Linked DNA regions of Caenorhabditis elegans. The protein of the gene in region 1 purifies or fractionates together with the protein of each later gene. This does not show direct contact. Each region holds a gene or a part of one and is shown on either strand. Other genes may lie near its edges.

Region 1 (5,538 bases):
CCCGCCAAATTTATGAATTGTATTTGCGGCATGGCCGAGCTTTCTCTTCCGCGGCTACGTTGCTAATGTTTTTTTGCTAAATGTACAGTGCTCCACATAATGATACGGCCACCCCCAAATTTTGGTATAACTCAAAACTGGGTTGAGATAGCAAAACATAGTTTCTTGTGAAAATGTTCGCTGTACTGGCTAACTTTCAGTTAAGTATTGGAAATATACCTGAACCGTTTGTAAAAAATATAAACCATTTTTTCATGAAAAACCATATAAAAAATCCACAAAATGATACGGCCACCCTTGGTTTTCGTTTTCTTTTTTCGTTTTCTTTGCAATTTTTTTTGCTAAACGTTAAGTTTCATGTTCGTTTGTGTTTTTACAGCTATGGGTCGTGGAATAACTTCAACTGACTACGAAAAAGGACAAATTGTGCCAAATTATCTCAAGGCTTCTCGAATCGTCAGATTTTTCGTGATTTGAAACTTTCGAGAGATATGATCACTCGATATGCTTCCAATCCTGCCGCTTATTGCACAAAAAAGTCTTCTGGTCGCACACCTTTTCTTTCTGTCAGACCCAAAAAAAAAACCGTTCGTCGAGCATCCAATTGAACAGTGACTTGCTCGAAAAGTAGGAGCGAGATGAACCTGGCAGTGTCTGTTGAGGCCGTACGACATGTTCTTTTGAAGTCTCAGTTTAACAAAAGACGAAAATTAAGAAAGGCTCCATTCATTACCAAAAAACCGCCAAAACCGTATTCAGTTTGCTAAAATCAGTCAGGGAACTAACTGAAGACAAGTGAGGATTACGGTATAATCATTCAAGCCCAGTTTTTGGTTTCAGTTCATCTTTTCTTTTCTCAAATCGTGCCACTAATCACGGTAGTAATCTGGTTCATTACAGTTAAACTTTTTCTCGTCACTGAAGATGAACTGAAACCAAAAACTGGGCTTGAATGATTATACCGTAATCCTCACTTGTCTTCAGTTAGTTCCCTGACTGATTTTAGCAAACTGAATACGGTTTTGGCGGTTTTTTGGTAATGAATGGAGCCTTTCTTAATTTTCGTCTTTTGTTAAACTGAGACTTCAAAAGGACATGTCGTACGGCCTCAACAGACACTGCCAGGTTCATCTCGCTCCTACTTTTCGAGCAAGTCACTGTTCAATTGGATGCTCGACGAACGGTTTTTTTTTTGGGTCTGACAGAAAGAAAAGGTGTGCGACCAGAAGACTTTTTTGTGCAATAAGCGGCAGGATTGGAAGCATATCGAGTGATCATATCTCTCGAAAGTTTCCAAATCACGAAAAATCTGACGATTCGAGAAGCCTTGAGATAATTTGGCACAATTTGTCCTTTTTCGCAGTCAGTTGAAGTTATTCCACGACCCATAACTGTAAAAACACAAACGAACATGAAACTTAACGTTTAGCAAAAAAAATTGCAAAGAAAACGAAAAAAGAAAACGAAAACCAAGGGTGGCCGTATCATTTTGTGGATTTTTTAAATATGGTTTTTCATGAAAAAATGGTTTATCTTTTTTACAAACGGTTCAGGTATATTTCCAATACTTATCTGAAAGTAAGTTAGTACAGCGAACATTTTCACAAGAAACTATGTTTTGCTATCTCAACCCAGTTTTGAGTTATACCAAAATTTGGGGTGGCCGTATCATTATGTGGAGCACTGTAGTATCGATACTACTAGATCAAAAGTAAATGTGAATAGTTACGGTTATGAATTATTGATTGTTTTTCCCCATCACTTTTTTTTCATGCTTCCCAGATGCCTTATCCATGTGAATATATTTATTCAAAAATCAGCTTTAATTTATTTTATATTTTCCCTTTTTTTCGGTTTTTCTCCTATGTTAGACATTCCATAAATAATGGGTTTTTAAAAAATAATTCTGTCTAATTTTTTCGGCGGTTTTAACCAATTTTCTATCATTTTCTATAATTTCCCTTTGTGTCCGTTGTTGAAATTTCCCCATTGACAGACATTTGATGATTCGGGTGCTCATTTCGCTTACAGTTATGGCTTCTGTGCTTCATGCTGAGCCAACTGTCGTTGTTGTTGGAGGTGGGCTCGCCGGGCTGTCTGCTTCACTGGATATTATCAATGGAGGTGGACGTGTGATTTTGGTAGAGGGAGAGGGAAATACTGGTGGAAATTCAGCGAAGGTAAGATCTTGCGAATTTTTGAAAAAAATCTATTTAACTTCTGGAAATATCGATTGTTAAAATTTATTTTCTCGCATTTTTTTGTTCCAAATTTCTGAAAAAGTTATTTATTTTACTATTAGTTGCAAATTGTGAAAAAAAATAATATTCTGTTTTTTTTCCTTTAAAACTGAAACGTCTCTGAAAAAATATGATAAATTAAAAAATTTCGATTGTAAGAAATTTTCAAATTTAAAAACAGTTAAATCGTGTGAAAAAGCTGGAAATAAAAAAAAAGAGTAACAAATTCTCGTTCTGAAAAATTTCAAAATTAAGTATGCCAAATTACAGTAAAATGTTTTAGTAAGTCTAGGTGATTTTTAAAAAAAGTGTCCAATATCCTCACTTCTTGAAAAAAATATTCCAGGCATCCAGCGGAATCAACGGTGCTGGAACCGAAACTCAGGAGAAACTGGGAATCAAAGATTCGCCGGAACTTCTTGTCAAGGACACTCTGAGTGCAGGAGACTCTGAAAATGACAAGAAACTTGTGGAAATTCTGGCTGCTAATTCAGCAGATGCTGTTGAATTTCTGCGTGGAGTTGAAGTGGATCTGACTGATGTGAATCTATGTGGTGGGCATTCTGTACCACGTACTCATTGGATTCCATCTCCAAAGGAAGGACGACCAATACCAGCTGGTTTCGAAATTATGAAGAGATTGAGAACAAGGCTTAATGAGAAGCAATCGGAGAATCCAGAAGCCTTCAAGCTTTTGACTCAGACTAAAATGGTTGGAATTTTGAGAGAAAATGGAAAAGTATCGGGAATCGAGATTGTAACATCAGCTTCTGGAGAGAAATCAAAGATCATCGGAGACGCTGTAATCCTTGCAACCGGTGGATTCTCTGCTGATGAAACTTTGCTCAAGGAATTTGGAGCTGAAATATTCGGATTCCCAACAACAAATGGAGCATTCGCTAAAGGAGATGGTGTGAAAATTGCGAGAGCTCTTGGAGCAAAGATTATTGGAATGGAAAATATTCAGATTCATCCTACAGCGTTTGTAGATCCAAAAGATCCATCAGCAGGAACAAAGTTCCTGGCGGCTGAGGCTATTCGTGGAAAAGGAGCTCTGCTTATTAACTCAAAGGGACAAAGATTTGGAAATGAGTTGGGAAGACGCGATTATTTAACTGGAAAGATTCTTGAGCTCGCTGAGCCAATTGAAGAGAGTTTCCAAGGAGGATCTGCTGGAAGAAATGCGGCGATTATGATTATGAATGAAGCAAATGTTGAGGCTTTTGGCAGACCTGCTTTCAATTTTTATTCGATTGTTAAGAAATTCTTTGGTAGGTTTTTTTCTGTGAAAAAGTTGGAAAACATTTTTTAAATTAGTTGTTTGTTATTTGAAAAATCCCAAACAATTTTTTTCAAATTTCATTTTTTTTTTCGAAATCCATTAACACTTCTCGAGAATAAGTTCGACAAAATCTTCGTATTAAAAATTCCCAGTTTAAAGATTTTTTTGTCGAAAATTTTATCAGCTTCCTTTTTTTTGGAGTTTAAAAGCATTTTAAATCCAAAACTAATTTTTTTTTCCGGAATTTCTGAAATTTTTAAAAATTCCCTTTTTCAAATTAATTTTTTTAATTTTTAGTTTTATATTATGAAAATTGTATTATTGCTCTGAAATCTGATTTTTTTCAGCGAAATACGAGAACTCCGCGGAGCTTGCAAAGGCTTTGGGTATCGACGAATCAGCTATTAAAACCACTTTGGAGGAATATCAGAAGAGTTTTGATGGAAAATCTGAAGATCCTTTCGGCAAAAAGGTATTCAAATATTTTTAATTTTAAAATTCTTGAAAAAATGACTAAGAATTCTGAAAAGTTGATCAAAATTGCATTTACTTTTAAAACAGACTTTATAAAATCAGAAAAGTGAAAGAAAAACTAAAATTCATAGATTTAGGAAAAATTGTGCTGAAATTGTATTATTAGAAACTTTGAGTAAAACGTTGAAAAATATCGAGAAAATCTTTCCCCGAATATTTGACGATCTATTTTCAATTTAAACTTTCCCAAGCCTAAATTTTTTTTCAAAATTAAAAAAATATCGTTCAGCAAAAAAAAATATCGAAACTGTAAAAACAAAGTTATTTTTGCATCGGAATTAGCCGAAAAATACCGAAACTGTAATAATTTCCCATTTCCAGGTGTTCCCAGTGTCTGCAATCTCTCCGACTGAGCCAATCTACGCAGCAATCGTCGTCCCAGCAATCCACTACACCATGGGTGGCCTGAAAATCGACGAGGCCACCCGCGTCATCGATGAGCATGGCAAGCCAATTGTCGGCCTTTTTGCCGCTGGAGAAGTCACTGGCGGAGTTCATGGTTCCAATCGATTGGCTGGAAATTCCCTGCTTGAATGTGTGGTGTTTGGCAGAATTGCTGGAAAATCTGCGGCTCAATCTGCTGCGGAGACTCGTACCGAGCTCTAATTCGAATATTTTTACAGAAAAAACTCAGTTTTGTGGCTCAATTCTACAGTATAATTCAGAAATTTTCAGTTAAAAAAAACATTTTTTCGCGATCCGGGATTCCCGGACCCCTGTAGATAATGATTCATTTACTAGTTCCAACCAACTTTATATGTTTTTATTATATCTACTACTCTATTCAGCATTTTTATTTTTCTTGTGATTTGCATCTTTATGGGTTCTTCTACACATATATTTATTTCTCATTTTCTCTTCATTTTCACACTCTCTCGTATTTATCGTGTTTCCTTCTTCGTATTGTGGTGTGTTTTTGGGTAATAAATGTGTTTTATTTTCAGAAGAAGCGGCAGACGATGATGATCAACGATGACGATGAGACGTTCGATGACCAATATCCAGCAGATGAAGTGACCGCAGCAACGATGCGTAGACTTGCTTTTGAAAAAATGGATGATGATTATTATCTCGGTGGAGCTGTTGGGGATGAAGTTTTTGATTCAGAGGATGATGTGAGGTAAATACACTGGAAAATGGGAGAAATTGTAATCAATGCCAAAAAAAGGAAATGCACAGCGTAAAAATTTTGGAAAAAAAAACTATTTTTCACTAAAATCACATGAATTTCTAAGTTTCCACCTTTTAAAAAAATCAGACACCGCTCGCAGGTTACGGTAGCAGTAATCCCCGACGCAGCTGAAATTCTTGCTACAGTACTCCATGCAGAAGTATTCAAAGAAAACGACCTTTTTTGGTTACTGTAGCTAAATTTTAATATGTTGGTTCAATAGAAAATCATTTTTGAGAAATATCCCTACTTCATCGAAAAATCAAGTTTTATTTCAAAACTATCCCGCTGATCAAACAAACACAGTATTC
Region 2 (4,340 bases), on another chromosome or scaffold:
GATCACTCCTTCTGAAACAAAAGAGCTTCGTAAATATACACTGTACTCCGTAAATCTACACAAACCTTCTTCTTCTCGGACTTCTGCTCCTTCTTGAGTCGAGCCGATCTCTGCGATCCTTCCTTTGCCTTCTCCGCCGATTTTGCAGGCACTCCACTCTTGGCCGGTGGTGCCGGAGCGGCAGAATTGCTCTGAAAAGATGGTTGTTACAGTGGCCGAGAAATAACTCTTCCACTCACCTTAATCTTCTTTTGTCGTTTCGAGTTTTGTTGTCTCTTCGAGTTTTGCTTCTTGTCTCGTTTTGATCGTTTCGATCGCTTTGATCTCGCCGATTTTCCTTTGCCACCACGCGAATTCTCACGATGTCCGGTGGTACAGCCGACGGCAATGATCGCTCCAGAAATTGACGCAGCAGCAGCGAAACACACTGAAAAACAAGGAAATTGAGATAAATTGATATTTCCGGCACTTTTGGCAATCGATAATTACCGGCAACTGTCGCCATTGCCTTTAACTATTACGAACCGGCAAAATTGGATTTATCGGCGCTTAGCGGCAACTATTGTTAATTGCCGGCGACTATCAGTAATCAATAAAATTAGAGTTTCATTGCCGGCGGTCAGCGGTGACTATCGTTAATCGAAAAAAAAATCCATTTGTTACAAGTAATGGCTGCTGCCGGCCACTATCGGCAACCGCCGGCGACTACCGGCAATCAATAAAATCGGAGTTATTGAAGATTGTCAGCAACCATTATGACACTTATTGATTTTTGTAGACACGCCGGCAACAGAAGCGGCAATGCTCCGACAACATCCTCGGCGATCGCTCAGCAACCATCGGCAACTTTTCCTAAACTCACGGTAATTCATGGCACCATGGAGGTGCTCCATATCCAAGCTCATTGTGAAGAGTCGAAATTTCGAAATAATTGATTTTTCGCCGAACAAGATTTGTGGTCCCGTGAGTTGAGATTTGATTATTTGATAAGAAAGGTCAGCACGGTCATTGACATTTTTTTAATTTTAATTTTTTTCTTTTTAATATTTTTGAAAAATAAATTTTAAGTAAAATTTTAGATAATTTTTACAGTGGTCTCTTGTTGATCTCGGCTGGAAGAGGAGTGACGTCACAGATGGCCTAAGAAAATGTGGTGTGACCAAGTTTTCCGCCAATTTCTGTTTCAGAAATTTGTTTAAAAATTTTTTTTCTAATTCAACACTAATTTCTCCTCAGAAAATTCAATTTTTCCGCCAAAAAAAAAGTTTCCCAGAAAATTTGAATTTCTCGTCAAGTTTTTTTAAATCAAAAATTTGAATTACCCGCAAATGTTTTTCTTTAAAGATTTCAAGCTCCCGCAAAAAAATTTCTGAGAAAATTAAAATTTTTCGTCAATTTTTGTTCAAAAAAATTGAATTTACTCGCCAAAATTTTTGTTTCAGAAAATTTGAATTCCCTCCCATTAACTCAAACAATTTGAAATTCCCGCCAATATTTGCCACAGAAGATTTAAATTTTCCACCAAATTCCGTTGTTTCAAATTTTAATTCCCCACTAACTTTTGCTCAGAAATTTTGAATTTTTCTGAAAAAAATTTGAACAAATTTGGCATATCCCTTTAAAAAATATAGATGGCAGATAAAAAACTACAAAAAAAATTTAAGTCGATTTTCCCCATCTCTCCATTGGAAAAATCGATATTTCTATACCTAATAAATATGAATCCGTTGACCTCAAAATATTTGTTTTCCCGACTTCAGAGACTATCTCCCGGGAAGATATATCTTCACGGAGACGAGGGATATATCTTTCGATAGGTCATTTCTTCTTCTTCTGCTATTCAATTGTTATTATTCAATATTTATACACCGAAATGGCCAAAATTCTCTTGTTCCTTCTCTCGACTTTCTTCGTTTTTTCCATTGTCTCCGGGCAACAAACAAACTATGAAAATTGTCTCACGAAGCTCAACAAAATGAAGAATATTTTGAATAATTTGAAGCTGGAAACTACGAAACACGGCAAAAATGTGAAAATTGGTAATTTGGAAACATTTTATCATATGTGCATTGACACAACGGTTAGTTTTATTTTTTTCAGCAAAAATTTGAAAAATAGAGTTTCGAAAAATATTGAATTTTCAACAAAAAATTTCTGCAAAAGTAGTAGGTGGCCTAGAAATTCTGCGGCCACCGATTTCCAATTTTTCTCAAATGTAGTTTGTGAACATTAAATTCGTTTCAAATAATGCCAAAAAAAATTCCATGGGAGGCAGGCGCGGTTTCAGGGCCTGCCTTCATCCTGCCCGCCTCAGCCTCTGGCCTCTCAACATTTTTCTACACAATGGCGAGAAGGAATATTTAGCACATTGGCAAATTGCCGGTTTGCCGATTTGCCGGAAGTTTTTAAAGGGATTTTTTCATAAGACGGAAACACTTAAAACTGTGCTTTTTTGAAAATTTTCCCGTTTTCTTTAAATATTTTCATAGAATCTGCTCACTTTTCAAAATATATGTAGGAAAATTTATAAGGTACGTACAAATCTGCCGATTGAAATTGAAATTCTGAAATTTCCTTTAAAAAATTGTGCAAAAGCACAATTTGCCCAAAATTTTCGGCAATCTGCCAATTTACCAATTTCCGGAAAAATGGTTTGGTCGCCACAAGGCGGGCGAGGTAGGCTTCTCTGCGCCTGCGTGGAAGCCTACTGGATAGAGCTTCTGTGATCACAACCAAGAAGTGGGCGGAACGAAAGGCCACGCCCGTTTAACGGCTCCCAAAAAAATTATGAGCATCAGAGGCCACGCCCAAAATTTGGTACATCACTTTTAGTTTTTTTTTGATATTTAAAAAATTAAAAGTTTTCAGAACTGCGTAGAATCAATGGAAATCCCAGAGCTACTAAAAAGTATTTTGAGATTCGGAACAATGTTCATGAGATCCGCCTGTGAAGACTTGGGCTTAAAAGTCGGACCATTCAGTAAATGCATGGAAAAGGTACCTACAAGCTTCTCCGAAAAAGATCCTCTAGAACATTTTATTTCAGACAAAATTCGACGTAACTACTCTGAAAAACACGACGATTGGAGAGGATAAACCAAAGTGCTGGTTGACACCTGACGAGTTTTCAGAGCTTCAACGGGTTGTTCAAGAGCAATGCGGAGATGAAGCATGGGAGGATATGTTGAAGAATGAGGATAAGGTCAAAGTGATGACTTGTGAAAATCAGCCATAATGTATCCAAACGACATTCCGATTCGCGGGGGTTGATCCCCTTTTTATCAAATGAAAAGCACCTATATTGTGTTCATTGTTTTTTTTAACCTTATTTTAACTTTAACCGGGAAACGAAGCCCAACTCAGGATATGGGCGGACTCTCTGTATTTTTCGATGTATCGATTTCCTTTGTTTGGATTTCCGGGATCTTGGTTGAAATTATAAATGACCAGGACATTAAGAAAACATTGGCCATAACGATTTATTTTATTTTTAAAATTCTAACAAACTATCATAAAACTGTCTCTGTTATTTATTATAGTTATTTATTATTTATTTATTATTTATTTATTTATTATATTTATATATTTATTCCACAAATTCAATATGCGAAAAACGAACGAAACCCTGTGTGCCACTAGGTAGGCGTCTGCGCACATTCTGCGCCGATTAATTTCTTTTCTATTTATCGGAAAGTGCGCAGACGGCGTCAAAAAGTGGGGCTGGAGACCAGCCACAGCCCCAAAAGGAGCTCAGCCCCACTGTAGGGGCTAGCTAATAGTGCATCTTTATGTTTTAAATAAAAAGTGCATTCAAAATTTGCGATACATCCATTTTGAGATAGTTTGTGAGCTGATAGCTTGTTTTTAACGATATATGAAAAATTGGTCATTTTTTTCTGCGGCCGACTTGTTGAGATGCTTGCAGAGATTATCTCTAAAATGTTGAGAAGTAGGAAAAAGTTGTCATCTGGTCAACATTTAGTTAGTTGATAGCACAAAATTGCATTATATAAAAGTTTCAAAATTGCCTTCATTCTTCAAACATCTTCATTTCGAATTAGGATTACCTGAAATTTTGATTTTCAAGCTATTACTAGAATTATTTGAAGGCTTGTAGATCCTGTTGCATCCAAAATATTCACGAATAAAATTCTCATTATCCAGCATTTCTTTGACGGCACGGGGGCCGCATATATTTTCTATTGGCATTGTCTTGCATTCATTGTCAGCCTCGAAATACTCGCATGTTGGAAGTTGTGCCTAAAAATCATATATTTGTAATGCAAATGCGCTCCACAGCACGCAAAATTCAAACTTATGTAAAAAAGAAATCTTACCGC

Evidence for each region. The genes of interacting proteins can lie anywhere in the genome.
Region 2: the proteins of F48E8.3 (region 1) and Y23H5B.8 fractionate together in Caenorhabditis elegans (co-fractionation; one large-scale study listed by BioGRID). This does not show direct contact.

Annotation. Positions count from the first base shown.
Region 1 is NC_003281.10:5,459,383-5,464,920, forward strand, and holds F48E8.3 (fumarate reductase (NADH)), read left to right. Parts: upstream 1-1,996; 5' UTR 1,997-2,033; coding exon 2,034-2,180; intron 2,181-2,586; coding exon 2,587-3,511; intron 3,512-3,869; coding exon 3,870-3,994; intron 3,995-4,377; coding exon 4,378-4,662; 3' UTR 4,663-5,000; downstream 5,001-5,538. Other genes in the region: F48E8.2 (E2F-associated phosphoprotein), read left to right, coding at 5,016-5,176.
Region 2 is NC_003279.8:2,545,861-2,550,200, reverse strand, and holds Y23H5B.8 (T20D4.11-like domain-containing protein), read left to right. Parts: upstream 1-1,801; 5' UTR 1,802-1,873; coding exon 1,874-2,080; intron 2,081-2,868; coding exon 2,869-2,997; intron 2,998-3,046; coding exon 3,047-3,235; 3' UTR 3,236-3,815; downstream 3,816-4,340. Other genes in the region: Y23H5B.3 (T20D4.11-like domain-containing protein), read right to left, coding at 4,048-4,260, 4,338-4,340.